Linked DNA regions of Saccharomyces cerevisiae S288C. Changing the gene in region 2 together with the main gene of any one other region gives a genetic interaction. Each region holds a gene or a part of one and is shown on either strand. Other genes may lie near its edges.

Region 1 (8,138 bases), on a different chromosome or scaffold from region 2:
GGTTATACCGGTAAGAAGATCACCGATGTTGTTAACATCGGTATTGGTGGTTCCGATTTGGGTCCAGTCATGGTCACTGAGGCTTTGAAGCACTACGCTGGTGTCTTGGATGTCCACTTCGTTTCCAACATTGACGGTACTCACATTGCTGAAACCTTGAAGGTTGTTGACCCAGAAACTACTTTGTTTTTGATTGCTTCCAAGACTTTCACTACCGCTGAAACTATCACTAACGCTAACACTGCCAAGAACTGGTTCTTGTCGAAGACAGGTAATGATCCATCTCACATTGCTAAGCATTTCGCTGCTTTGTCCACTAACGAAACCGAAGTTGCCAAGTTCGGTATTGACACCAAAAACATGTTTGGTTTCGAAAGTTGGGTCGGTGGTCGTTACTCTGTCTGGTCGGCTATTGGTTTGTCTGTTGCCTTGTACATTGGCTATGACAACTTTGAGGCTTTCTTGAAGGGTGCTGAAGCCGTCGACAACCACTTCACCCAAACCCCATTGGAAGACAACATTCCATTGTTGGGTGGTTTGTTGTCTGTCTGGTACAACAACTTCTTTGGTGCTCAAACCCATTTGGTTGCTCCATTCGACCAATACTTGCACAGATTCCCAGCCTACTTGCAACAATTGTCAATGGAATCTAACGGTAAGTCTGTTACCAGAGGTAACGTGTTTACTGACTACTCTACTGGTTCTATCTTGTTTGGTGAACCAGCTACCAACGCTCAACACTCTTTCTTCCAATTGGTTCACCAAGGTACCAAGTTGATTCCATCTGATTTCATCTTAGCTGCTCAATCTCATAACCCAATTGAGAACAAATTACATCAAAAGATGTTGGCTTCAAACTTCTTTGCTCAAGCTGAAGCTTTAATGGTTGGTAAGGATGAAGAACAAGTTAAGGCTGAAGGTGCCACTGGTGGTTTGGTCCCACACAAGGTCTTCTCAGGTAACAGACCAACTACCTCTATCTTGGCTCAAAAGATTACTCCAGCTACTTTGGGTGCTTTGATTGCCTACTACGAACATGTTACTTTCACTGAAGGTGCCATTTGGAATATCAACTCTTTCGACCAATGGGGTGTTGAATTGGGTAAAGTCTTGGCTAAAGTCATCGGCAAGGAATTGGACAACTCCTCCACCATTTCTACCCACGATGCTTCTACCAACGGTTTAATCAATCAATTCAAGGAATGGATGTGAACAAATCGCTCTTAAATATATACCTAAAGAACATTAAAGCTATATTATAAGCAAAGATACGTAAATTTTGCTTATATTATTATACACATATCATATTTCTATATTTTTAAGATTTGGTTATATAATGTACGTAATGCAAAGGAAATAAATTTTATACATTATTGAACAGCGTCCAAGTAACTACATTATGTGCACTAATAGTTTAGCGTCGTGAAGACTTTATTGTGTCGCGAAAAGTAAAAATTTTAAAAATTAGAGCACCTTGAACTTGCGAAAAAGGTTCTCATCAACTGTTTAAAAGGAGGATATCAGGTCCTATTTCTGACAAACAATATACAAATTTAGTTTCAAAGATGAATCAGTGCGCGAAGGACATAACTCATGAAGCCTCCAGTATACCCATCGATTTGCAAGAAAGATACTCGCACTGGAAGAAAAACACTAAACTACTTTATGATTACCTAAACACGAATTCAACAAAGTGGCCGTCCTTAACGTGCCAGTTCTTTCCTGATTTAGATACCACTTCGGATGAGCATCGCATCTTGTTATCCTCATTTACATCTTCCCAAAAACCTGAAGATGAGACCATATATATTAGCAAAATATCCACGTTGGGTCATATAAAATGGTCATCTTTAAATAATTTCGACATGGACGAAATGGAATTCAAACCGGAGAACTCGACAAGGTTTCCCTCCAAACACTTAGTAAATGACATCAGTATTTTCTTCCCAAACGGGGAATGCAATAGGGCAAGATATTTGCCTCAAAATCCAGATATTATAGCCGGCGCCTCTTCAGATGGTGCAATCTACATATTCGATAGAACAAAACACGGCTCTACTAGAATAAGACAGTCCAAAATTTCACATCCCTTTGAGACAAAGCTGTTTGGTTCACATGGTGTTATTCAAGACGTGGAGGCAATGGATACTTCTTCGGCAGATATAAATGAGGCGACTTCTTTAGCCTGGAACTTGCAGCAGGAGGCCCTTTTACTTTCTTCTCACTCCAACGGCCAAGTTCAAGTTTGGGACATTAAACAATATTCGCATGAGAACCCTATAATAGATTTACCCTTAGTGTCAATAAACAGCGACGGAACAGCGGTGAATGATGTAACTTGGATGCCAACACACGATTCCCTCTTTGCTGCTTGTACTGAAGGAAATGCGGTCTCCCTATTAGATCTGAGGACTAAGAAAGAGAAGCTCCAGAGTAACCGTGAAAAACACGATGGTGGAGTAAACTCCTGTAGATTTAACTATAAGAACTCTTTAATTCTAGCATCTGCAGATTCAAATGGGAGGCTAAATTTATGGGATATTAGAAACATGAACAAAAGCCCAATCGCTACCATGGAGCACGGTACTTCCGTTTCAACTTTAGAATGGAGTCCAAATTTCGATACTGTATTGGCAACGGCTGGCCAAGAAGATGGGTTAGTCAAGCTATGGGATACCTCCTGCGAAGAAACTATATTTACCCATGGTGGTCATATGCTCGGTGTGAACGACATTTCGTGGGACGCTCATGACCCTTGGTTAATGTGCAGTGTGGCAAATGATAATTCAGTTCACATATGGAAACCTGCAGGAAACCTTGTTGGACATTCGTGACCTAAACGTTCCTTGAAGCCAGGCATGCTAATGGCTCCTGTCCCTATTACATATTCAACCATTTGATAGACGAATATACAAACATAAATAGAGTTTATAAAATATGCTCAAGACTTGCTACAATAAACACTACGCTCAGACTTCATGCTGATTTCAATATTGTATTTCGAAGAAAGTGGTTGCTCATTTATTACCTTTGAACTTTCACTTTGGTATTTTGATATTCTCGAGGTTTCCCAGTCTGGCTTGAACTTCAGTTCGCCTTTTGAAAGTGGCAGGATTATAAGGTATATTTCTGTAATGTGATGGTGCAGTGCCTCTTGGATTCCAGTCTTTATCGTAAAATATACTTCTTATACCGAGTTCACCGTTCTCTTTTTCACGACCCAGTGAGTGTCCAGAATCAGCTTCTAAATGACCTTTTGATACAGTCTGCAGAAGCTGTCCCTCTTTATTTCTCTCTAGGTTTCTAGAAAGTGATTCAACTTGATTTCGTACCTTTTTCTTATTTGGGCGTTGGACCTTGGAAACCCTTCTTTCTGTTAAGTTATTACTTGGGTCCTTCTTTTGATCCATTAAGCTCAAACGTATATAGTATAAAATGATGGAATGCGAGAACTAAAAGGATTGGATGACTTTGAAGGTAATATATTTCCTTGATATTTGAAAATAATCAAAAAAATTTGCTGAAGGCCTTTGCAAAGTGTCTAAAAGTACGTTCTGTTCAAAAAAGTAAGGAAACTCAATATACAAAAATTGCCTTTTCGTCAAAGTTAAGGATTTTAATATTGAAATATTTCATCGATATAAGAGAACCCCGAGCAAGAAGAACAAAAGAAAAACATAAAGCAACGTGGAATATGTCACAATCTACTGCATCACTGGTACCAGAGGGCAATCAAGGCTCCCTCCAAGAAGATGTTAGTTTTGATTTCAATGGTGTACCTGGCCAGGCTTTAGATGCCGTGCGCATGCGTTTGGCTCAATTAACTCATTCATTGAGGAGAATCAGAGACGAAATGTCCAAAGCCGAACTGCCACAATGGTATACACTCCAATCACAACTGAATGTCACATTATCCCAGCTCGTTTCTGTAACCTCCACTCTACAACATTTCCAAGAAACTTTAGACTCTACAGTGGTTTACCCTTTGCCTAAATTCCCAACCACCTCTCATGAAAGTTTGGTCACTACCCTTTTGAGGAAGAAGAATATTCCTGAAGTGGACGAATGGATGAAATATGTTAGGGAAACATCTGGAGTAACTACAGCCTTGCTAAAGGATGAAGAAATAGAAAAGCTGCTGCAACAGGACAGAGAAATAACGAATTGGGCGCGCACTACGTTTAGAAACGAATATGGAAAGCACGATTTCAAAAATGAAGAATCCCTAAGCGAAGAACACGCTTCACTTCTAGTACGAGATAGCAAACCTTCGAAACCTTTCAATGTGGATGATGTTCTAAAGTTCACCTTCACAGGGGAAAAGCCCATTATTACGGGATCTACTTCAACATCATCTAGTAATTGAATTTTACTTCACGCTACTGATATTTTAAAACATTTTATTGTTACTAGTGACCTGGTAAAAATATTTACAAGTATAAAAGGACCAATTTACTGAATGAAGTAAATAAGGATCATTGATATGTTACGATAAATAATGCAAAGTAAAGGAGAAGAAACGAAGGGGTCCAAACCTTAGTAGGTTAGCTTTCTATAAACTTTGACAGGCTTTATATCCTTACAAAATGCACTTTTTTCATACTTTTTTGTTAGAGTATGTCTTGGCCCTAAAGTGAATTTAGAGTTTTTTAGATTTCAAGGCTACGATAGTAGCCTTATAACAATTTCCCATGTACCAAACATAATTATACTGTTCGGAACTGTTCTCATCAAATGCGGGGTCAACCCACTATACATTGAAAAGAGTCCCTCTTCTTTAATTATAACTTTGAAACTTTGTACTAAACCTGTATACTTTCGTTTACCATTTTCCTTGGGCGTTTGTCTCAATCTCGTCCTGACAACTTCGTGCGGATATGTTGCTATACTAGCCACAAATTTTGCAAGACCAGCGCTTCCTGATCTTTGACACCACTCCTTGACTTTCTCTGATGTGCTTTTTGTACCTTCGGCTTGATATCCAAATTTCTCAATAGACCTTTCCTTTATTAACCTCTTCATTTGTTCATATAATAGCCATTGAAGTATACCTTCAACAGAACCCAAATAAGAGGCACTCAACCCTTTGTACAAGCCAGTGAAACCCTCATTTCTTATAACACTTTTTAAGCAATCCCAAGAGTTCTTGTACTGTCGGACCGATGTTTTCCCAGCTTTATCAAGCTGTACTCTTGTTTTAATCAACCAAATAGGATTGGTTGCCGTCGCCGTTGCCCAACCTGCGGTTGCAGCAGCCATCAGATGAATCATAGGTGTTTCTTGGCCATTATTGAACGCTTTAGCATACATATCTTTAGTAGTTCCATAGGTAAAAAAATTAATACTTCTTGCTGGAATAACCCCGACTAAATTGGGGCCCAAACCCTTAAACAAGCTTCTAAAACCCTCTTGTTTGTACACATTGCCTATGATTCCCAGTGTTTCCTTGAAATGGGTTCCTGCTTGAATGACATAATTAATACTCTTTGGACGAGTAGATCCTTTACTGATATTAACAGCTTGTGATTTGTATGCTTTCAAAAATATATCACTTTGTAATCGGGTCTTCACCAAATCAAAGGGACACGTAACAACTGCACCCGCCATTCCTCCAATACCCCCAGCAACAAAATGAACCCATGGTTTTACTGTTGGATGATTTTCAATTTCAGATTGCTTCAAATTTAGTGGAATTTGTGTAGCTTCCTTATAATTAGAGCCCTTTTCATCACTTGCTAAATATGGAACTGATTCAATGGCATCCTCTTCCCATTCTTCAATGGATTTTTTAGGCATCTTTATCTCCTTGAAAAATTATGGGATATGAGAATGGTCAACTATGTAAGTAAGTAGGTGACTTTGACACAATAAATATAGGACCACGTAAAGACAAAATCGTCCGATTTTTTTACCTCAGTTAGCAGTACTTCAAAGAACAGTTTCTATAGAGAACAAGGCTACCCCTTTATACAAAGTTGAATTCTCTATGTGAAGTTAGACTTTTACCATTATTCTTTTTAATTTTACTTCTTGGATTTTGGCGTAAGGTTAATTTTTCACTAAGAGAGAGCCCGAAGCGAGGATTCAAAAGAGATGCTCAACGCAAGTAATATCTGGATGACATGAAGTGACTGTGTTGAGTAGTCTATATAGGTCAGAATAAAGAACCAAAAGAAATAATCTAAATGTACAAATTATGGATATTAGACACAATTTATTTTTTATTATATTATATATTTAAAAATAGACAAAAAATAAAACCTAAAACCTGAAAATCTTTTTCGATACAAAACCAGCATCGGGTAAATTAGATGAAAGTTTCGTATGGAACTGGGGCCAAAGTTTGAGGAACGTTACCTTCAGTAGAAACGATACGGGATTCTCTTGGTTGAGCTGGTTGTCTCTTCAATTGAACAGCAACACCTTGAGCCTTAGCTTCAGCACGCTTAGCAGCATTGGCCTTAACTCTTTCCAAAAATTCTTGTCTACACTTGGAGTGCTTGATGTGTTCAACTCTTAAGTTTAATCTTTTTTCTAGATATCTGTTACCGACCATCTTGTTGATGATAACACCAACAGAAGACTTAGTAACGTTGTAGACAACACCGGTCTTACCTTGGTAAAACTTGTGTGGCATACCCTTTTGGATAGAACCATTGGCTTTGATGTCGACAATGTCACCAACCTTGTAGACCTTCAAGTAAGTAGAAAGATGGACGGCACCATGCTTTCTGAAGTCACGTTGGAACATGTAACGAGTACGAGATCTGTAACCGTGTCTGTATTATAAGGAAATAAATCAAAATTAAGATTTATAAGAAATCATGTTAGTATTCTATTGTTTTGCGAGTTTCTGAGATGCGTCCCAGCACATAACCGAATGTTTGGAAAAAGGGCTTGTAATTACTACACTTCTAATGTTGAACTAATTTTCAAAGCAACGACTGTAAACTAATGACTTACAGCCCGTTAAAAGCCTATCATGTCACGTAATTTTCTCAGAATCAGTGTAGCATCATCTTATCTGCCCAATATTTTGCTCTAATGATATGTTTGCTTTATTCACACTAGACACGTCTTTAAATCTTTTTATTTCTGTGACGATATGTTCGGTTTGAGATACCATGATTCGTTCGTGCTGTAGATTCATAGGATTAAATGACATACGATTTACCCATTGTTGCTAGTTATTTTTGTCTTGGTTCTCTTATTCCAAAGTTCAATCGGTAATGCCTGAAATTGCACACTACTTTCTATATTATCTTTACCAGACATGACACTCCATTGGTGATAAAATTTCACAGAGGCGCAGAGACCGTTTACCTTTCCAGCTCTCGTATTGTGGCCCCCACCGCTGCCTGGGCTTCCAGCACGGCCACTAGTAGCGGTGGGCCAACACATCAAAGGAGGTTTGGCAGCGGTGCTTTTCCTCGGTTCTGAGCATGTTCTAGCGGCTGGGAAAAAGGCGATATTCAAACTCATCCTTGCCTCCAGTAAAAAAGGGTGTGGTGATGGTGAAGATGTACAGGTGTAAAACTGTCAGACTAACAAGTATAATATTGCGATTTATATTATCGAGATATATTGAGGTCAAGAGATATATACCAAAGTGAATGCAAGATGGCATGGAGAATTAGCCTTTAAATATTAACGGCTTCAATTTCTGACAATAAGGATTTCTCCAAGCCAAGGTGTAAAATCCTAAACGCTACTGAGTTGCAGTTGGGAATTTAAATCCGATCAAAATCTTCTAGCTATTTACGTTGGGTATTGAGTAATACTTGTGTCATCCAATGCCATGTCATCTTGCAAGAAAAGCGCCAGTTATGTACCTCTACCCATTTTCAAATGAAATAAAAATGACAAAGTAAAATGAAAAATGATCCGTGATTTGAAAAGTTATAAAATTTATTATACAGTTATGAAATCAGCGAATTATTTATTCTTCGTCTTCGGCTTCTTCAGCAGCTTCACCGGAAGCTTCAGCCTTTCTAGCAGCGTTTCTTCTAGCAACTCTACCTGGTCTAGCACCACCGAATGGAGAAGTTGGAGCGAAGTCAATGTGCTTTTCAGAGTCCAATCTGACCATGAAAGATGGGATGTTGACGATTTGCTTACCAACAGCAATGTGTCTTTGA
Region 2 (4,502 bases):
TGTGAGTATACGCTTTTGCCGTTATGGCCAAATCATGTATCGAGCCGTTTTCCTCCTGTGTGTATTCATTATGTGATCCTAATTCCGTGCAAACACCCATGAAAGGGTTTTCCATATTTTCTTTTATTATATCGATCCTGCGATATAATAACCTTCTTCCGATGACCTTGTTAAATGTAAATTTGTAAAACTAGATACGTCAGATGTTGTTTCAACATCATTCGCGTCAATAGCAGAGTTAATGCCTGATTTTGTCTGAAATCTCGTAGAAAAGAATCTTTTAGAGTGGCTGTGGATCGTGGATAACAAAAATACTCTCAAATCCCTTACTTGGCCAATTAAGGTATCCATGCAATCCCCACTACTGTATATCTTATGTAGCCTGGGACTATGCGGCCTATTATTTGTTTTAGAACGTCCTAGTTTTCTCTTGTAATTGAACATTTGTGACAGATAAAGTATCATCCGATAAACGTATAGGAAGAGATCGAATGCATACAGGCCTAAGAATGGTATTAGCAAAAAAGCTATGCATGTGCGACAGATATATTGAAGTGATTGTATAACGAGCAATAGAACTATTTCCAACGCCTCTATCATGATTGTCGAAAAAAAGGTCCTGATTCCTTAATGTTTTATAATTTTTATCTGATAAATGGATCTTGTTTCCTGTAATAATGGGTTACCAAAAGTTTTTTATAAGAATATTTAGCTTTACCAGACTAGTATACATCAACAGACAATCACACTCCCTTAAGATGTTTTTCAACAGCAAATTAAAAGGAGACCCTGATTCTTAATAATACAGATATACGGTGTATAATGATGTTGCAGACTCGTGATCACAGTTTACTGAAATTAAGAAAAAATGACGAACTAACGAAATCCAGACGTGAGTCAGAATAATTATAACAATAAAAAAAAAAAAAAATTTCTATTGTTTTATACCGGATCAATGCTGCTTTTGAGTGATATTTTTCGAACAATGTACGACTTTATTATGCGGGTAACTTTGAAATAGACAATGGAAAAACCGTTATTTGCAGAAGGGGATGGGAAGATACGAAGAGAAATATCTAGCAGTCTTCGACGCCACCTTTTTTCCTTCTTCATGTGCTTTGAGACAGTTCATATAATTTTGTTATAGAGATACAAATATACATCATTTCGTAACAAGGGAGGAATAGAAAGAGGGGATACCAAGAAACCATACTGTTACATATTGTGTCTTTGGCCCGATCTCTTTCCATTTCTTTCTCTAATATATTATATACACTCACTGCACCCCAATAACGCTCAACTCTAAAGTCCAAACTCTACGAATATGTAATCGGACGGGTACAATGATTTTATGTAGTTCTGCTTCAGGATCAACGTTTGTTGGCAAGATCAATTCAATGATTTTCTTTGATTCATCTTTCCAAGAGCCGAAGACTTCCACTTCTAGCTCTATGTCTTCTTCACCCCACCAACATTTACGAGCAGGTTTTCTCCAAAATAATAGTAGCTTAGCGTTGATATTAGGTTTTGGCACTAGATCATACAATTTGGGCAACTCCGGAGGTTTACTTCTGGTCTGCGAACTATGTCTCGAGGAAGAGTGCGAACGAACGTTATCTGCTAGTTTCGACAGCCTTGATTTTCTCTTATCACGTGCTGTAGCAGGTGCTGTACTTCCGCTTGTTAAATTCCTTGCTGTAGAAATGGTACTGTTAGATTTACTTGCAGATAAAGAGTTAATCGATATGTTAGATTGCATTGGGGTGATGAAGTTGTCTTGAGAAGGTTTGTGCTCTGCCTCCCACTTAGCCTTAGCCTCGTTAAATTTTTGCCTAAATCCTTCAGTTGTCTCGTTAGCCAATCGGCAAAGAGACAGTGAACTTATAACCGTTTTGCCAGTTTCTTGAGTTCTGTTACCCCAACAAGTTTCCTTGGTGAATCCGGAGGAGCACAACATATCCATTAAATGTTGTTCAGCAGGTCCCAATTTTTTCGAAGTAGATTTAGTATTTGAAGAAGAATTGGACCCCTTTTCAATTTTCTGTTGTTGCTGTTGTTGCTTTAGTCTATTCGAAGAATACAAACCTTGGAAAATCGATGTTTTTGAAGTTAAATAACTGCCAGCAGCCATTTTCACTTGAGCCATAAAATGTCGCAATAAATCCTCATTATTTTCTTCATTAGTGGAATCAAACTGAAATTCCTCCTGAGGTACACAATAATAATCCAAGTCTTCTCTCAAAACAATAATAGCGGGCTTTTGATGTAAAATATCCTGCTCATTGTTGCTCGAAATTGAATTATTGCTACTCAGTCCAAAAAATCCCTTTGCATTCGAAACAAAGCTACTTGATGGTCTGTCAAAAAATTTCTCCACAGGATGATTATACAAATCATCATGCGCTTTTGTATATATCTCCATGATGTACTCAAAACAATCAGGAGGGAAATTAACAATGTAGACCTCATCGTCTCTGGTCAAATTAGTAATGACCTGACCACAACGGTCCAAAAAAACACCTGAGGGAAATAAACACAGTAATAGGGATTCAGGTAGAGACATCAACTGGTCCCTCGTAATGAAATAATGGTTTTCTTGAATATTCAAATGAATCAATGAATCACCATAATCCTCCTCGTTACCTTCGTACTGTGAGTTCTGTTGCTGTTGCTGTTCTTGTAGAATCGGAGCGGACTCTGCATTATCTGGAGAAACTTGCGTGATTATATCGTCCATTGTTTATAATAAGTGTAAGCTCAGACAACCTTTATCTTTATCAATTAATGGGGAGGCGGGAAAATTAATAGCCTAAGTGTGAAGGAGTTGTCTTCTTGCGCTTTCTGTTCTTTTCCGAATAAAAAAACAATTAAATTATCACTGGAGAAAATGCTTCTCAATTAAAAAAATCACTAAATAACGTTGTTTCTCTTTTCCCTTATTTTTAATGGGATAAACGTTCTAACAAAACTTTTTTTGTCTTCTAAATTTGGATCCTTATCTTCTTATGACCTTTGGGGGGAGAAAAGAAAAAAATGACTCTAAACTGACGCCGAGTTAGAGACTCTCTCACACTCTATCACTATGCCTATGCTGTAAACTTAAAACAACGATAGACCGTTTTTTGTCTTACTTTCCTCCTTAGTAATTATTACTCTAGAGCATAAGAAATTGGCCATTGAACATGGCCCGTTCTGACTAAAATCTTCTCTTCCTGATAAAATTTGCTTTTTTTATTTTGAATTGCCCTCCTTCGGGTCGTTTGGAAAAAACACCCAAACACCTCTTACATACAAGATTTGCAACGTTTTGATAAGTAAGTACATTATGCAGAGGTTATGTTTTTTCTTGACCGTCAAAACACTGTTCATGCATGCTAGCGCTGTCGATATAAAATCGGGATTTTCATACACCCATCAGGTTGGTTGAATTCTTTCTTTAACTCTTACTCATCTTTCTTTATTTTCCGGATATAGCACGTAACCTATCATTTTTTTTTCTTAAGGTTGCCTTTGCCGTTCTTCGCACTATAAAAAAGCACGCTTATGAAAATTTTTAATTACTTGACTTTTTAAATCTGTCATTGAAATTTAGATGATATGCAAAACACATTACGAAAATGTCAATTGGAGTTTTAAAGAACTCATGTTGCTGTTACAATACGTAGAATGGTCAGAAGTGTGCTGATGCATATACTTTGAAGTGTCAAAGTGTCTGAACGGGTGCCGTAAAAGACCTATTCTTTTTTATGATGAATTTATGTTTTCAATCTTATCTACATTATCTGAATTAATAGCTAACAATAGTTATAATGGAAGATATACGACTATCAACAATTCTGAAAATTTTTTCTTACTTCCTTCAAGAAGGTAGTGAGTTCTTCACAAGCGCGTAAAATAAGATGCGTCCAAATATTGGCACGTATACACATGTACGTAGATATCAGCTTTACATCTCGTCGTCACTATTGATTAAGAATTCATCCTCATCCGGATTTTTCTTATTTCTAGAAACAGCGTTTACTTTAGTTGGTGTAGTATCCAGGGGTTCCGGTGGTAGCGGCTGCCATTTCTTCTTCGTTTCTGTATCTGGAGTATCAATGTAGGTTGTCTCTGCCACTACTTTTCCAGTCGACTCACCAGATTTTGTTCTCGTTGGTAACTGAGGTGGCACATCTTCATCATCTTCAAATCCATCTTCGTTGTGTAGTGTGATTCCGTGGCTTTCTAAAGAGTCATCACCGACTTGAACGCCAAACGAATTGAATCTTCTTCTCTCAGGTTGCTGGGGTCTTGAATTTTTCCCGCCTTGTGACAAATCCACAATCTCTGGCTCCCATTCTTGCTGATCTTGGTGACCATGTTGGTTGTCGTTTTGCTCATTACCTGACGCAAAGTTTCTCCGGTAAGCATCACTTATCCAGTTACTAACTTTGTTTGCTGTGTCCTGTAATGACCGACCGGCTCTGTCCGTAAGCTCTGGCAGGTCCTTTTCTACAAATTGC
Region 3 (8,362 bases), on a different chromosome or scaffold from region 2:
ACACACCGTAGTTCAATTCACCAAATAAAGTGACACCTGTCATGCAAGGAGGTATGCTGATATGAACTGTAGCGTTTGTAATATTTTTTTCCACAATCATGTCATTAAAAGAAGTTAAAGCCTCGCCGCCTGGATAATTCATTCTTGATATATACAAGAACGCCATTGAAATGAAAAAGGAGGTCATTATAGATAAGGGCAATATAGCCAAACATAAAACATTGGTAATCTTTTTTACTTTCATATTCTCCCATAGATGTGCTGCTCCTGTGGCACCTAGCAACATGATAGATGGAACAGCGTAGATGATGAATCTCCATTCTTTGTGAGGTTGAAAGGATAAGACGATAATGTGGAAAAGAGATGCTAGTGAGACAATTTTTAATTTTGCAGGTGCTAATTTATAGCCGAAGTAATTCAATAGTAAAACAGTTGGTGGCATAAACATCATTCTCAAGTAATGCGTGAAATAAGCAGTAACTGGCTCCACACCCCACTTGGAAGCGTAACCCGCAACCACGTTGAACAAGAAACCATCTACCTCAGGTAGACACCATTCTTGCCAGAAATATGAATCAACGGTGATACTGATGGCGGAACCAAGTCCCAAGCCAAAGATACCGAATTTGATAGCATCGAATAAAGAAATCTTCTTGAAGATGACGCTAAATAGAGCAATACCAGCACTGAGAGCTGACACTTCCAGTCTAAATACAATTGCCACGAGCGCAGATAGGAATATAGCTGCATTATAACGACCCAATAAAACCCACCCCAATGCGACGTTGGTTAGAGGCAGAGTCATGACAAAATTAGGCAGAGTCCTAGTGCTGTAGAACATGAGGTGGAAACTGCCAATTAAAAATAAAAGAAACCATGTACCAGCGCTATCGTAAATGTATATATCCTTGTCTTCATTTTCTTCCTTTTTCTTTTCAGTGATTTCATCAAACATATCTTGCAAACAATTCTTTAAATAGATAAAAGAAAGCCCATTGGTGAGGCCAACAATCCCCCTAACGACCAATTGAACATCTATAGACGTAGGCCTGGAAGTTTGGATCAAAGAACTCAAGTAAAGATAAGGTCTCGAAAGCATTGCAATAATCACAGCACCAACGAATGTTCTAGGGACTACTCCAGGAAATTTCAAGTGGTCATATTGGGAGATATCAAATACGCTGTAGGTTAAAATATCATGAATGGCTTGAATATTAAAACTCTCTTCCACCTTGGTGAATGGAGCTTGGATTAGATGAAAGGAAATCACGGTCAATAGCACTGTATCAAGGACAGACCAACGCATTGTCAACTGAATCGTTGTTTAATGGCTTTATTCAACTCTTTTAACAACACTAATCGTTAATGGTTTCACTTGCTATTAGTAAATTCCTTGCGTTATAAACTGTGAAGTGCCACGACATTTAATGCCGGCTGGTAAAAGGTTGTTCATTTTTAAGGGCCGAATTTTTCATTTTCATTTTCATTTTTTTTTTTTTTTCACTATTGGAATAACATGTATATTATAAATATTATATAATATTAAATGTTTAATGCGCTTGTAAAGCCAAGAACACCCTTTTCATTGAGGAATTTTCAACTTTTAAAGCGGAAGAATGTCTGCATTGAGAAACATCAAGTTCAATGAAGAAGAAGATGGTGAACTACCCTGCCTCGTAACAGGTGAAGAAAATAATCTACAAGAAATTTTGGAAAATGTCTCGTATGATGGTGGAAATATTGTTAGCGATGCAAAAGTTGAAAGGGTAAACAAGCAAGTGGAGAACACTTCTGCAGGCGCAACAGATGTGCACGAGAAAAAGCGTATTCCTGTGAGCATTATTACCGGCTATCTAGGATCAGGTAAATCGACGTTGCTGGAAAAAATTGCATTAAAAGGTGCAGATAAAAAAATTGCCGTAATTTTAAATGAATTTGGAGATTCTAGTGAAATCGAAAAGGCTATGACCATTAAAAATGGATCGAACAGCTACCAAGAATGGTTGGATTTGGGTAACGGGTGTCTGTGTTGTTCGTTGAAAAATATAGGTGTTAAAGCCATCGAAGATATGGTGGAGCGTTCACCTGGTAAAATCGATTATATCCTTTTAGAGACCTCCGGTATTGCAGATCCCGCCCCCATTGCGAAAATGTTCTGGCAGGACGAAGGATTGAATAGCAGCGTTTACATTGACGGGATCATCACGGTTTTGGATTGTGAGCATATACTAAAATGCTTAGATGATATTTCCATCGATGCCCATTGGCATGGTGACAAAGTTGGTTTGGAGGGGAATCTGACTATTGCACACTTCCAACTAGCCATGGCTGATCGAATTATAATGAACAAATACGATACTATCGAACATTCACCAGAAATGGTCAAACAATTAAAAGAAAGAGTACGGGAAATAAATTCTATCGCACCGATGTTCTTCACCAAGTATAGTGATACGCCGATTCAAAATTTACTAGATATTCATGCATACGACAGTGTACGGATATCTGACATCTTAGATAGTGGTAGCGGAAACGGTACCATTCATGATGATCGAATGGGCACAATAATGCTTACTTTCAGACCATTAAAAAACGAGGAAGAATATAATAATAAGTTTATTAAGCAATTTTTGCAACCTTTATTGTGGAAGAATTTTGGAGCCATGACAGTGCTGGGAGGGCGTCGCCGAGATGACGGCCGTGATTGGGAAGTACAAAGAACTAAAGGTCTGATACTTATTGAAGGAGAGAACCCCATTGCTCGTGTAATCCAAGGCGTCCGCGACACCTACGATGTCTTTCCAGGCAAATATGACGGATCCAATAAAGAGTGTAAAATTGTGCTGATTGGGAAGTACCTAGAAAAGGAATCCATAGAGGAACTGTTACGTAAAACCCTGGAATGATGGTTGGCATAATAAAGACGAGGTAAGTTATGTATATTTATACGTATGTATGTGATACAAAATGAATGAATATTAAGCGGATGGATCGAAACATTTTAATCCTCTCTAATAGAAACTATTTTAGACGATCTGTTGAATATTCTTTTCCTGTACTTGGCCAAAACGTAGAAAAGTAACAATACCGAAATACCAAGCATAATCTTTGGTAAAGGATGGTGAAGCTGATTATATTTTGCGTCTTCTAACTTTCTTTGACTACCCTGGTATAAATAATTCTTCAATGTAATACCTTTCTCCAAATCGCCGTTTTGGTAATCTTGAAGCCTTTGTAAATACTTTTCGTGAGCTTCCTTTGCATGCTGAATCCTGTGTTCCTGGGATGAAATGTAACCTATTGTTATTGGTTGCTCTGGTTTGCCATTTTCGTCAGTTTTCACATTAGCTAGTTTATCCATCAGATCTTTTAACCCGGCGGTAACTTGGCCAAACACAACACTTTCACCTTCAAGTGGCGTCTCACTGGTCTCAATTATAAACTTAAGACCCTTATCGTCCTTAATCATGGAAACTCTGCCTGGCCTATCATGAATTAAACTATGATTTTCTTCCGGGAGTTTTGGAGCCAACATTTCCGTTTCTTCAATAGAGGAGGAAGAAACGGAGCTACCTTCTATAGCTCCATTCGGTAGAATTTTATCAAAATCGCGTTCTGGCGAGTAACTGTGACGGGAAGCAAGGCGATCTTTTACACTATCAACATACTGGCAAAAAGTCATTACTGTCTTGGGCACCATAGTCCCGTATAAGTCTATTGTTATGAGACGGCCGGCTTCTTCCGAACTTTCAGGATCTGTGAAAACAATTCCGATGTTTACATTATGTGTAATAGGAGGGTCTGGTGCGTATTTTTTCTTTAGGTCTAAGGAGTCTGAAGAAGCCCTTTTGTTATCCACAGGTAATGGCAGAGCCGTTATGCAACTAAACATGAATGCCACATAAAGATAAAGAAAAAAGCTCTTCATTGGGAACCAATGTATACAAATTGTAATAATCTTTCAATTGTGATACTGAATATGAATAGTCTTCTTTATTTATCTACTGCAGTAGTTGATTCTATATATTCTATATATTCTATATTTTTCTTCTATTTTTTTAAATATTTTTTTTCCAATCAAATTGAAAGACCCAAAGAAGGATCGATCTTCTCCAAAGGGACGCGTCGTGTGCCTACAGTTTCCAAATCAGGAATGTATTTTCCTATTTAGGCAGGTTCCTGCAGCAGCCGCACCCCAATGAGGAAGGAGCATACCGTTTCGTAAGAATCATATTTTAATGGTTTTTGGCTTGCCAATGGAGGGTATGAGATCTTGCTTTAGGATGTCTCTACACTGAATCAGCTTTAAATCCTTGATATCTATCGTGGAATCTTGTGGGCCCCGCTCAGCTATGTTTAAATCATACGTTTTTTGTAGGATACTGGTGACGAGCCACAGCACTTGGCCCAAGGATGCGCTTAATGACAGCTGTGTGCAGCGGCGGTCGCCTAGTAACGAGTCAGTGAGCATGGCGCTGATTAAATCACCACTTCCACTAAATTTTGCGTTGATCTTGGGGATTTCATAGAAGAATATCTCTTCACTGGCCGAGCAATCAAACCCTGCTACTACGTAAGTGTCGTTGCTCAGGAATTCAGATAATTCCAGACTAGTGACAACTATTCGGCTTACTCGAGGGTACTTTTTATGAAATAGTTTAAATGCCTGCTTAGCGTCGTCTAAGGTACGAATTGACATCCCCACCAACAGTTCCATTTCAAACTGATTTGGTGTGGCCAAAAAAATTTTGAAGTTTTGTAAAATGTCTTGGTATACCGCAACACATTCTCGATCCACGTACAGCCTTCCATTATCGCCCAGTACAGGATCTAATATCCACTTGACGTTTTCACTCCCCTCACATAATTGACCCACTATTCCTGCTACCTTTTGCAGGGCTTGAACATTGGGTAAATAGCCACTAAGTACGGCATCATACTTGATTCTAAGAGACCCAATCAAGCCCTTCTCTACAATGTCTACCAACTCCTCAGTGCTGCATTTGAAGCCTGTGAAGTGGGCGTACCCCGAGTGGTTAGAAAACTGAACTGTGTTCAATACGTCCACATCCCAACCTCTGTATTGAAGTGGGAACGTAGCGGCCTTGTTTCCCACGTAGCCATGTATGACGTGTGATTGAATGGAGAGCACTTTTTTTGTCGTATGTAATGTACTGGTCATTGGCACCACCCTCACACAGGCATGTATTCAACCTTCCACTGCGTCTGGTCTAATTTCTCAAAGCTAGTTATTATCTTTATCTTGAATGGTGATGACAATAGAGTAAGAATGAGGGAAAAAAGAAAAGTTGAAAAAAAAAAAATCCAAAAAATTCAAAAACGTGTACAGAAACCTAGAAGGATACGTGATAGAAATACAGATATATAACAAGGTTGAGATACAATCGAGCCACTATGAAGTTCGTGACAGCTAGTTATAACGTCGGGTATCCTGCGTACGGTGCAAAATTTTTGAATAACGACACATTACTTGTGGCAGGCGGTGGAGGAGAAGGAAACAATGGCATACCAAACAAGCTGACGGTCTTGCGCGTGGATCCTACCAAAGATACTGAGAAGGAACAGTTTCATATATTGAGCGAGTTTGCATTGGAAGACAACGACGACTCTCCTACTGCAATTGACGCTTCCAAGGGTATCATTTTGGTTGGCTGCAATGAAAATAGCACTAAGATTACCCAAGGTAAAGGTAATAAGCACTTGAGAAAATTTAAATACGATAAAGTGAATGATCAATTGGAGTTCCTCACTAGTGTAGACTTTGACGCATCTACAAATGCGGATGACTACACGAAGCTGGTTTATATTTCACGAGAAGGTACCGTTGCAGCTATCGCATCATCTAAAGTACCTGCTATAATGAGAATCATTGACCCGAGCGACTTGACAGAGAAGTTTGAGATCGAGACTAGGGGTGAAGTAAAGGATTTACACTTTTCCACTGATGGTAAGGTTGTTGCTTATATCACCGGTTCTAGCTTGGAAGTGATTTCAACAGTGACTGGAAGTTGCATTGCTAGGAAAACAGATTTTGATAAGAATTGGAGTTTATCTAAAATAAACTTCATAGCCGATGACACAGTATTGATAGCAGCCTCTTTAAAAAAAGGGAAAGGTATTGTGCTGACCAAAATAAGCATCAAATCAGGAAACACTTCCGTATTAAGATCCAAACAAGTGACAAACAGATTCAAAGGGATTACTTCTATGGATGTCGACATGAAGGGTGAATTGGCGGTACTGGCAAGTAATGACAATTCCATAGCTCTTGTGAAACTAAAAGACCTGTCAATGTCTAAAATATTCAAACAAGCTCATAGTTTTGCCATTACAGAGGTCACTATCTCTCCGGACTCTACATATGTGGCGAGTGTTTCGGCAGCCAACACTATCCACATAATAAAATTACCGCTTAACTACGCCAACTACACCTCAATGAAACAAAAAATCTCTAAATTTTTCACCAACTTCATCCTTATTGTGCTGCTTTCTTACATTTTACAGTTCTCCTATAAGCACAATTTGCATTCCATGCTTTTCAATTACGCGAAGGACAATTTTCTAACGAAAAGAGACACCATCTCTTCGCCCTACGTAGTTGATGAAGACTTACATCAAACAACTTTGTTTGGCAACCACGGTACAAAAACATCTGTACCTAGCGTAGATTCCATAAAAGTGCATGGCGTGCATGAGACGAGTTCTGTGAATGGAACTGAAGTCTTATGTACTGAAAGTAACATTATTAATACTGGAGGGGCAGAGTTTGAGATCACCAACGCAACTTTTCGAGAAATAGATGATGCTTGAGCTTGAGAGAAAGTTATGAGGTAGCAATAATGAAGTAGCGAAAAGGAGAGTGACGACACTCAAGCTATGAAAAAAAACGCAAAGATACAAAAACGATCTCAATGATATTGATGATAGAGATTTATCTGATAAATTAGAAGTGGTGTATTTACATGTTTTTGTATATGTTTTGGAATTGAGCGTAATAGAAAGGACGGCAGTCCTTATGGTTTATGACAAATACGAAAAAAATACTACACAATGCTTTATATTATGTTCTCATTATTATATACGAATACGTACTTCTGCTGGTGCATTGTCTGCGCTACTTTTTTGAATTTCTATTTTTATTTTTACCATTATGGTTGGTCTTTTTCTTTTTGATGCTATCCTTAAATAATTTATCTAGGTCATATTCATCCTCTCCATCGTCTTGGCTCCCTGTAAATTCCTTATCCTTAGCATCCCTTTTCTCGTCTTCATTTTGTTCGCCTTCATCAAACTTTCTCTTCCTGGAACCACTATCATCAGAATTATCGCCAAAGGTTTTTCTCCCACTTATCACACCCTCAGGTTTTCGCAGTTCACTGTAACCAACGTTGGAGATTATGAGATTGGGTCGCTTCTTATATACTACTCTTTTCACCTTTTTCTTCTCCTTACCTGAAATTTTTTTTAAATCATCTTTGTAGCTATTGAGGTCCCACGCTGAGTCATCCAGACCAAAGAGTTTACCTTTCTGCTCTATAGGTTCCACATCTGAGTTGATATTAGACGGCGTATTGGAGTTGGAACTCTCTTCGTCATCCGTCTTACCAAATTTCATAAACTTCATATTCATGACTCTACTAGAGAGTTTGCCAGTGACACCATTGTTAGCACTCATTTGTTGCTTTTCCCTTGGTTCCTTATATGCTTATTGTGTTTAAGTGGCCCTCATCTCTACTACTTTTTCATATTCTGAAATTTCCAGTAGAAAATTTTCAGCGCTTTTCTTAGAAAGAGACAATGGAATCAGACAGCCGCCATTACTTGTAGGCGCTATAAACAAATCAGCATTGTCTGTTCGTCTTTAATTATTATAAATGAATGGTGACCTTTCTTTTCCTATCTAGAGTTTATATACAAAGAAAACTACATAAATCTTCAGTCTATTGTGTATCAATGTAAAGAAGCCTACATTCGTCCATTTGATAATATGACTTCTATATTCTCGCGCAACATAGCTTCATTTTCCTTGTAAAAGTTAGCCCGCCTTACCATATCTTCATTATAGCCCTCATCTCCCGATAAAACTTTCAAAGCATTCGAGGTAGAAGCAATGCATTCATTTAATGCTTTAACTGGGTCCTCACTAATTTTCTTGAAGAAACGGTATCGTTTGTTGCTCTCGTGTAGATTCGAGAGAACGGACGTTATTTCTTTGTCCTGTAAAGCTATCTTGGGTTTGATTTGTTCCAATTCCCTGGCATTTTCATTCAATTCAGCAGCCCCAATTTGACTTTCTCTTTGTGTATTATTGAATTTTAGAGCGTTGACATCAGGTACTTCA
Region 4 (8,502 bases), on a different chromosome or scaffold from region 2:
GTATTTCTTGATCTGCCCAATGGAGCAGTATTAGCACCAGAACCAGATGGTCTGAAACCGCCACGGCCACCGCGAGCGCCACCACGACCACCGAATCCACGGTTACCGCCACGACCACCGCCACGACCACCAAAACCACGGCTACCGCCACGACCACCATCGTTGTTTGGTCTTGGAGAAGAGAAGTCTAATCTAACTGGTCTGTTGTCAATGTATTCACCTTGTAAAGCGTCTAGAGCCTTCTTGGCGTCCTCCATGTTGGAGAATTGAACATAACCGAAACCTTTTGGTTGTTCAGTTTCTGGATGTGTTGGGATACGGACGGAAACAACTTCACCGTGTTTAGCGAATAATTCGAAAATAGCGTCTCTGTCAGCATTGAAAGATAAGTTACCCAAGAACAAAGTGTCAGATGGTTCAGATGGGGTATCACCGAATTTCTTGGCACGATCGTTGTTACCAGCTGGCTTGCTTGTGGACATATCACAGTTGATTGGTCTACCATCAATTTCCTTACCTTGCATTTCTTGAATGGCCTTTTCAGCATAAGATTTGTTTTCAAAATCAACGTAACCATAACCACGAGATCTATCGGTACCTCTTTCATAAATAACTCTGGCACCAATGACACCACCGATGTGTTCGAATTCCTTCTTCAACCATTCGTCATCAATAGACCACGATAGTCTACCAACGAAAATAGTAGCTGGTTCTTCGGTTTCTTCATTTTTTTGCTTCTTGTTGGAAGACTCTTCGTCTTCTTCTTCTTCGGCGTCCTCAGATTTACGTTTCTTATCGTTAGACTCTTCCTTTTCGCTTTCGCTATCAGAAGATGAAGATGAGGATGAATCAGAGCTAGAAGATTCTTTTGATTCTTCCTTCTTGGTTTCTTCTTTTTCTTCTTCTTCTTCTTCGTCGGAAGAAGAGTCAGAGGAAGAGGAAGAGGAATCCTTGGATTCTTCCTTCTTGGTTTCAGCTTCACTTTCGCTGTCAGAAGACGATGAAGAAGAGGATTCAGAATCAGAGGATGAAGATGAAGATGAAGATTCAGATTCAGACTCAGACTCAGATTCAGATTCAGATGAAGATGAAGATGAGGATGAAGATTCGGAGGAAGAGGAAGAGACGGCCTTAGCTTTTTCTTCTTTGGCTTGTTTGGAAGCCTTAACTTCCTTCTTGTTACCTTTTACTTTAGTAGTCTTAGCCATCTTATTTTATCCTGCCTGGGTTGAGTGATCCGAAATTGGTTAACAGTTCGTCTTTGGGAAGCAAAAGTAAGAAAAATACTACGAAAGGAAATAACTTAAGGTACCAATGGATTGGGAAGTGCAGACAGCAACAGCTACACTTAAGTACTTTTAATATTGGATTGAAAATTTTCGTTCTTGCGATGAGCTGCCCTTGCAAATTTTTCACCAAAAAAAAAAAAAAAAAAAGAAATGGAGTGAAAAAAGAAACGAAAAAAAAGGGCATGGGGACCCATACATCAGGCACTTACCCCCAGGAAGGATTACGTCTTTAAATCAGAGGATCAAAGGGTAATTAACAACCACCAGTCGAATTGCTGTCGTCTTTCTTCAATTGCTTTATCCAAAAATCTGAATGGATGTAAGTATTGCCCAGTAAGTTTTCTTGGCAAAATAACCTATAGCGAAATAGACAATCAACGTGATGGGGTTTAAATAGCTAGCGGTAAGTAACCACTAGTAGAACGTAGCTCCATAGCGTGTAATTTGGCGGCAAAATATGTGAAGCAAGCATATTCGTTATTACTTAGCTGCCTGTGAAATCCTGTCTGTGCCTTCTCTTTGCCTTTACTTTGTATAAAAACATATCAACACTGTCTCTGCGTATGAGGCCGAGGTATTTAGAGCATAAGAAAAAATGTGAACAAAAATAGTGTCATCTCCAGTAAGGCTTAAATGTATATTGATTTTCTATATATATATATATATATATATATATTTATGAAATAAACCATATAATTATAAGTAGTAGCTTGGAAAAACGCCAAAGTTGTACTTAGAATGAGGTTTTAAAAAAAAATTATAAAAAAAAACCAAGCGAGAAGTCACGCTTATAACGCAAGTGCACGAACTGCATATGTGTTGGATTGCCAAAGATCAATAGGAAGAATATATTTAGAGAAACTCTGTTTTCTTATGTATCTCGCTTACAGCCTATTTCAATGAACCAGTTTGGAATCTCTTTGCCATGAGATCAGCCTTTAAAGAGTTTGAGCCATCGAGACTGTAATTGGAAGAACGCCTTCTCCTGTCATGAAGAAGAGCACCGGATTCGGTTAAATCGCTAGACGAAATGCCGCTTAGAGAACGTGGAAGAAGAGTGTGATGTGGAAGATCGGCGGAGGGAAGGTTTCTGTTTGTTGTTGGTGCTGAGTGGATTTTAGTCTCAATGGGGAAAATCGTGTCTGAGATGCTTGTTCCGTTAGATATGGAAGCGTTCCGGCTTGACCTTCTGGCGGAATGGGAAATGTGGGTCATGGAGTCCTTGGGTGTTAAGGGAAGTACGGTGTGTCTGGATGCACCATCTGTGAGCTTTAGCTTTGGAGTGTCGAGGGTGTAACCATAATTGCAGTCATCATCATCTAGGATGGCAGACTCGCCTTCGAAAAATGGAGACGACCTTCTAGCCGGGACCGGATGGTGCAGTTGATTTTTTAACCTAGAGTTTTCTTCTTTTAAAGTTTCAATTTCCCGTAGAAGTCTTACTACAATAGCGTCTTGCTCCTTTTCCATTTCGTTTATTATTTCTTCCCTCGAAAGCCTTCTCTGTGCTGACATTGGTGACGAAGAAGGAGACGACGACGTCGAAAGTCTGCGAGGATCACGTGCTACAGCTGGTCTCATGGCTCTTGTAACTGAAGTTTGTCTCTCTCTGCATGGTTTGGCAACAGCCTTCTTGTGTTTTGATTCTTTATTCATGTTTACGGCTCTGGAGGTAGCGATCATTATACTTTATCTTCTATTAATGCTATGATTGATGAATTATACGTATGTATGTATCTGTAAGAAAATAGCCGAATGATTGATTATCTTTTCTTATATATGATTCAAGGGAACGAAAAGAAGACAAGATAATGTTAGGCAAGATAGTTTTTTAGACGACTGAGGCCGAAGATAAGCTTTATATATATGCAAGTCTATTTTTGTACGGGCGAAACCATCTAAGCCAACGATAACAATAGCCAGCTATGATCGTTGAGTACAGCGTGGGGCAATTTTTAGCGTGATTGATAAGGGCGCATTATCTCATCATCCATCGCCAATTTGGGACTCTAACGGCAAACCTCGGATTTCCGTGGAAACGCATGGAAAAATTGATCCGGGCTGTGAGGGGAGTCGAGTCAGTCACTTTTTGGCAACTCTCTCCGTCATGACCACTACTCCGCGGTAGCTGCCAAATTTGGTATTTCCAGGTTGTTTTTTGTGGACAGCCCGCGATCATATGTAAGAGCAGGATGTGTCATCCGCGGGTGAGGTAAACGCTGGCTTGCCATTATGGTTTTTTGGTACGTGTTGAACACGTTGCTTACGATCTTGGTAGGGGCGGGCTGTGATGTGAGAGCCACAAACCCGCTTCCTCGTTGTGGCTCTGGCGCTCCGTTTCTTCTTTCCCCCGCCTTGTAATATGTCGTGCATGCGTCCATGATGATATCGTATTTATTGTATATTGTGGTGATTTCGGCATATTTTAGCACATCTGTAGTATACCACAGAGCTAAAACAACCGATTATAGTCAACATTATACAGCATTATGTCTGGATACTTCAACCATCTTTCTTCGAATGCACATTTCGCAAATATTCAAGCCGATCAGGGCTTCATAGGTGATGCTACTGGCACAAGCAGCGATCATGGCAGTAGTGGCATGGTTGATTTTGCCCTACAACTCGGAGAACTGAGCCTAGAAGAGAAAATACTTAAAGAGTTCACCTTATTCCAGAGCAAGAACATGGACTTATTGCAAGAGACGGCGACGGCGTGTCCGAGTACTAATCCTTCCTTGAGACAGAGCCGAATTCAAGGCTGGTGAACGCCTGATGCGAGCTATACGTTTTGTGCTCACCGTGCACATATGGTGGCTACTTTTCTACTCAAACACGTTTGAAAAACGGCATACGATTAGCTTACAGATTGAACTCAAAGAAGTCGCAATGGGAGGTGCAGAAGATGACGTGTTACTTAGTTTATAATACAATGTGTTTTATATATCGATTCTTCGTTTATGCATTTCTGGACGATTGCTTTTCACTGTAAATACGCACTAATATTCATGAATATAAAAAAATGTAACATCATATCTCAATGTTCTTCTCCGTCAGTCAGATAGTGGCAAGGCTGTGATAGGACATTCTTAGAACGCCAAGAAAATCAAAAATTTGAACGGTATCTAAATTCATTTGTCGAACCCTTGAAGAAACTCACAGAGCGGGGTATCTACTATTTTGTTTTCGTTCTTTTGAATCTCCGCTACGTCACATTTTCTACAACCCTCAGGTCCCCTCACCACGAAAATCCAAGATTTGTAAAATATGAGCCGCGTATTTCTGCAATGGTAGAAACGATAATGTACCTATCGTACAACGATACATTATTTTAGTGCATTATAAGCCGCTTGATTCATGTTGATAATTAGCGGCTAAATTGTAGTAGTCATTCAAAATAATCGTACACCTTCATATAGTTATGAAAGGGGTATAAAAGATGAACGCTCGTTGGCCATGTCAAAGGTGCCTTAAAAATAACAATGCTTGCGGTAGTACGTGTGCAAAGTGTATATTCGCATGAGAGGTGATCGGAAATTGCTTTATCGCCCCACTAATTCTGATTCTTATTCAAATATTTATGTCACGTAGCGAGCTTACTTATCCATATATCAAAGGAAATCCAGATATAAACTCAAACTAATTCTTCTGTTTCCACGTAACTAGCATTCACATTGTAGTTTTCTAGATTACAGCAATTTATATATATTGTTGGAATAAAAATCAACTATCATCTACTAACTAGTATTTACGTTACTAGTATATTATCATATACGGTGTTAGAAGATGACGCAAATGATGAGAAATAGTCATCTAAATTAGTGGAAGCTGAAACGCAAGGATTGATAATGTAATAGGATCAATGAATATTAACATATAAAATGATGATAATAATATTTATAGAATTGTGTAGAATTGCAGATTCCCTTTTATGGATTCCTAAATCCTCGAGGAGAACTTCTAGTATATCTACATACCTAATATTATTGCCTTATCAAAAATGGAATCCCAACAATTACATCAAAATCCACATTCTCTACATGGTAGCGCCTATGCTTCGGTTACTTCTAAGGAAGTCCCATCAAATCAAGATCCGTTAGCCGTTTCAGCTTCCAATTTACCGGAATTTGATAGAGATTCCACTAAGGTTAATTCTCAACAAGAGACAACACCTGGGACATCAGCTGTTCCAGAGAACCATCATCATGTCTCTCCTCAACCTGCTTCAGTACCACCTCCACAGAATGGACAGTACCAACAGCACGGCATGATGACCCCAAACAAAGCTATGGCCTCTAACTGGGCACATTACCAACAACCGTCTATGATGACGTGTTCACATTATCAAACGTCACCTGCGTATTATCAACCGGACCCACACTATCCGTTGCCACAGTATATCCCACCACTGAGTACTTCCTCACCTGATCCAATCGATTCACAGAATCAACACTCTGAAGTACCTCAAGCTGAGACAAAGGTGAGAAATAACGTCTTACCACCACACACTTTAACATCAGAAGAAAACTTTTCTACATGGGTTAAATTTTACATCAGATTTTTGAAGAACTCTAATCTCGGTGACATCATTCCAAATGACCAGGGTGAAATCAAAAGTCAAATGACTTATGAAGAACATGCGTATATATACAATACCTTCCAAGCATTTGCCCCATTTCATTTATTGCCAACATGGGTAAAACAAATTTTAGAAATTAATTATGCTGACATCCTTACAGTCCTTTGTAAAAGTGTGTCCAAAATGCAAACTAACAATCAAGAATTAAAGGATTGGATAGCTCTTGCCAACCTTGAGTACGACGGAAGTACATCTGCTGATACATTTGAAATTACAGTCAGTACGATCATTCAGAGGCTAAAAGAAAACAATATCAATGTTAGCGACAGATTGGCCTGTCAACTAATACTTAAAGGTCTATCCGGTGACTTCAAATACCTACGTAATCAATATCGTACCAAAACGAACATGAAACTTTCCCAATTATTCGCTGAAATTCAGTTAATATATGACGAAAATAAAATCATGAATCTAAATAAACCGTCCCAATACAAACAACACAGCGAATACAAAAATGTTTCTCGCACATCTCCAAACACGACTAACACAAAGGTTACAACTCGTAATTATCATAGAACAAATAGTTCAAAACCAAGAGCAGCAAAAGCTCACAATATTGCTACATCTAGTAAATTCTCAAGGGTGAACAATGATCACATTAATGAATCAACCGTTTCATCACAATACTTAAGCGATGACAACGAACTTAGTCTTAGGCCAGCAACAGAAAGAATCTAAGCCAACACACACAATAGACTCGAATGACGAACTACCTGATCACCTTCTTATTGATTCAGGAGCTTCGCAAACGCTTGTCAGATCAGCCCATTATTTACACCATGCAACACCCAATTCTGAAATAAACATAGTCGATGCTCAAAAACAAGACATTCCTATAAATGCCATTGGTAATCTTCACTTCAACTTTCAGAACGGCACCAAAACATCAATAAAAGCACTACACACACCAAACATAGCCTATGATCTATTAAGTTTGAGTGAGCTGGCTAATCAAAATATTACTGCCTGCTTTACCAGAAACACTTTAGAAAGATCGGATGGTACAGTACTAGCTCCCATAGTCAAACATGGAGACTTTTACTGGTTATCTAAAAAATACCTAATTCCTTCGCACATTTCAAAGCTAACAATAAACAACGTCAACAAAAGCAAAAGCGTAAATAAATATCCATATCCGTTAATACATCGAATGCTTGGACATGCTAACTTCCGAAGTATTCAGAAGTCTCTTAAGAAGAATGCAGTTACATATTTGAAGGAATCGGATATTGAATGGTCTAACGCTAGCACATATCAATGTCCTGACTGTCTAATCGGCAAAAGCACGAAACATAGACATGTCAAAGGATCACGACTAAAGTACCAAGAATCATATGAGCCTTTTCAGTACTTGCACACCGATATATTTGGTCCTGTACATCACTTACCGAAAAGTGCACCTTCTTACTTTATATCGTTTACAGATGAGAAAACCAGATTCCAATGGGTGTACCCATTACACGACCGTCGTGAAGAATCTATCCTCAATGTTTTTACATCGATATTAGCATTTATTAAGAACCAATTCAATGCTCGCGTTCTAGTTATCCAGATGGATCGTGGCTCCGAGTACACTAACAAAACTCTTCATAAGTTCTTTACGAACAGAGGTATTACTGCATGCTATACAACCACGGCAGATTCTAGAGCACACGGTGTCGCTGAACGATTAAATCGTACTTTATTAAACGATTGTCGCACACTGCTTCATTGCAGTGGTCTACCAAATCATCTATGGTTCTCAGCAGTCGAATTTTCTACTATAATCAGAAATTCATTAGTCTCACCAAAAAACGATAAATCTGCAAGACAACATGCAGGTTTAGCTGGACTGGACATTACTACTATACTACCTTTCGGTCAACCGGTTATAGTTAACAACCATAATCCCGACTCGAAAATACATCCTCGTGGCATTCCAGGTTACGCCTTACATCCGTCACGAAACTCTTATGGCTATATTATCTATCTTCCATCATTAAAAAAGACAGTAGATACTACCAATTACGTTATATTACAAGACAAGCAATCCAAATTGGACCAATTCAATTATGATACACTCACCTTTGATGATGATCTCAATCGTTTAACAGCCCATAACCAATCTTTTATTGAACAAAATGAAACGGAGCAGTCATATGATCAAAATACAGAATCTGATCATGACTATCAATCGGAGATTGAAATAAACTCTGATCCTCTAGTGAACGACTTCTCGTCCCAATCAATAAACCCTTTACAATTAGACAAGGAACCAGTCCAAAAAGTACGTGCACCAAAAGAAGTTGATGCCGACATATCTGAATACAATATTCTTCCATCTACTATACGATCTCGTACACCCCATATCATTAATAAAGAGAGTACCGAAATGGGTGGTACCGTTGAATCAGATACTACTTCACCTAGACACTCGTCTACCTTCACTGCACGAAACCAAAACCGACCTGGTAGTACCAATGAGATGATTGATTTGACCTCACAGGATAGAGTTAATTATGGACTTGAAAACATCAAAACTACACGTTTGGGTGGTACGGAGGAACCATATATTCAACGAAATAGTGATACAAA

The links.
Region 1: mutations in WHI2 (region 2) and AIM4 together harm fitness more than expected from each alone (negative genetic interaction), as found in Saccharomyces cerevisiae (2 studies listed by BioGRID).
Region 3: mutations in WHI2 (region 2) and CPR8 together harm fitness more than expected from each alone (negative genetic interaction), as found in Saccharomyces cerevisiae (2 studies listed by BioGRID).
Region 4: mutations in WHI2 (region 2) and RTS3 together harm fitness more than expected from each alone (negative genetic interaction), as found in Saccharomyces cerevisiae (2 studies listed by BioGRID).

What each region holds. Positions count from the first base shown.
Region 1 is NC_001134.8:605,310-613,447, reverse strand, and holds AIM4 (Aim4p), read right to left. Parts: upstream 3,411-8,138; coding exon 3,039-3,410; downstream 1-3,038. Other genes in the region: PGI1 (glucose-6-phosphate isomerase), read left to right, coding at 1-1,212; MSI1 (Msi1p), read left to right, coding at 1,566-2,834; RNA polymerase II mediator complex subunit MED8, read left to right, coding at 3,695-4,366; RIM2 (Rim2p), read right to left, coding at 4,663-5,796; 60S ribosomal protein eL21 RPL21A, read right to left, coding at 6,308-6,779, 7,168-7,178; 40S ribosomal protein uS4 RPS9B, read right to left, coding at 7,940-8,138.
Region 2 is NC_001147.6:409,105-413,606, reverse strand, and holds WHI2 (Whi2p), read right to left. Parts: upstream 2,738-4,502; coding exon 1,277-2,737; downstream 1-1,276. Other genes in the region: IRC23 (Irc23p), read right to left, coding at 127-600; ubiquitin-binding protein CUE5, read right to left, coding at 3,947-4,502. UniProt on the Saccharomyces cerevisiae protein: Plays a role in the coordination of growth and proliferation. Required for entry into G0 phase under conditions of carbon limitation.
Region 3 is NC_001146.8:671,743-680,104, reverse strand, and holds CPR8 (peptidylprolyl isomerase family protein CPR8), read right to left. Parts: upstream 3,929-8,362; coding exon 3,002-3,928; downstream 1-3,001. Other genes in the region: ALG12 (dolichyl-P-Man:Man(7)GlcNAc(2)-PP-dolichol alpha-1,6-mannosyltransferase), read right to left, coding at 1-1,306; ZNG1 (GTP-dependent zinc transferase), read left to right, coding at 1,617-2,906; putative pyridoxal kinase BUD17, read right to left, coding at 4,229-5,182; Sar family guanine nucleotide exchange factor SEC12, read left to right, coding at 5,416-6,831; MPP6 (Mpp6p), read right to left, coding at 7,136-7,696; SNF12 (Snf12p), read right to left, coding at 7,987-8,362. UniProt on the Saccharomyces cerevisiae protein: PPIases accelerate the folding of proteins. It catalyzes the cis-trans isomerization of proline imidic peptide bonds in oligopeptides.
Region 4 is NC_001139.9:806,449-814,950, forward strand, and holds RTS3 (Rts3p), read right to left. Parts: upstream 2,973-8,502; coding exon 2,181-2,972; downstream 1-2,180. Other genes in the region: NSR1 (Nsr1p), read right to left, coding at 1-1,208; YGR161W-C (uncharacterized protein), read left to right, coding at 3,779-4,057; YGR161W-A (gag protein), read left to right, coding at 5,290-6,606. UniProt on the Saccharomyces cerevisiae protein: May be a component of a protein phosphatase type 2A (PP2A) complex. Negatively regulates SIT4 phosphatase, a modulators of caffeine sensitivity.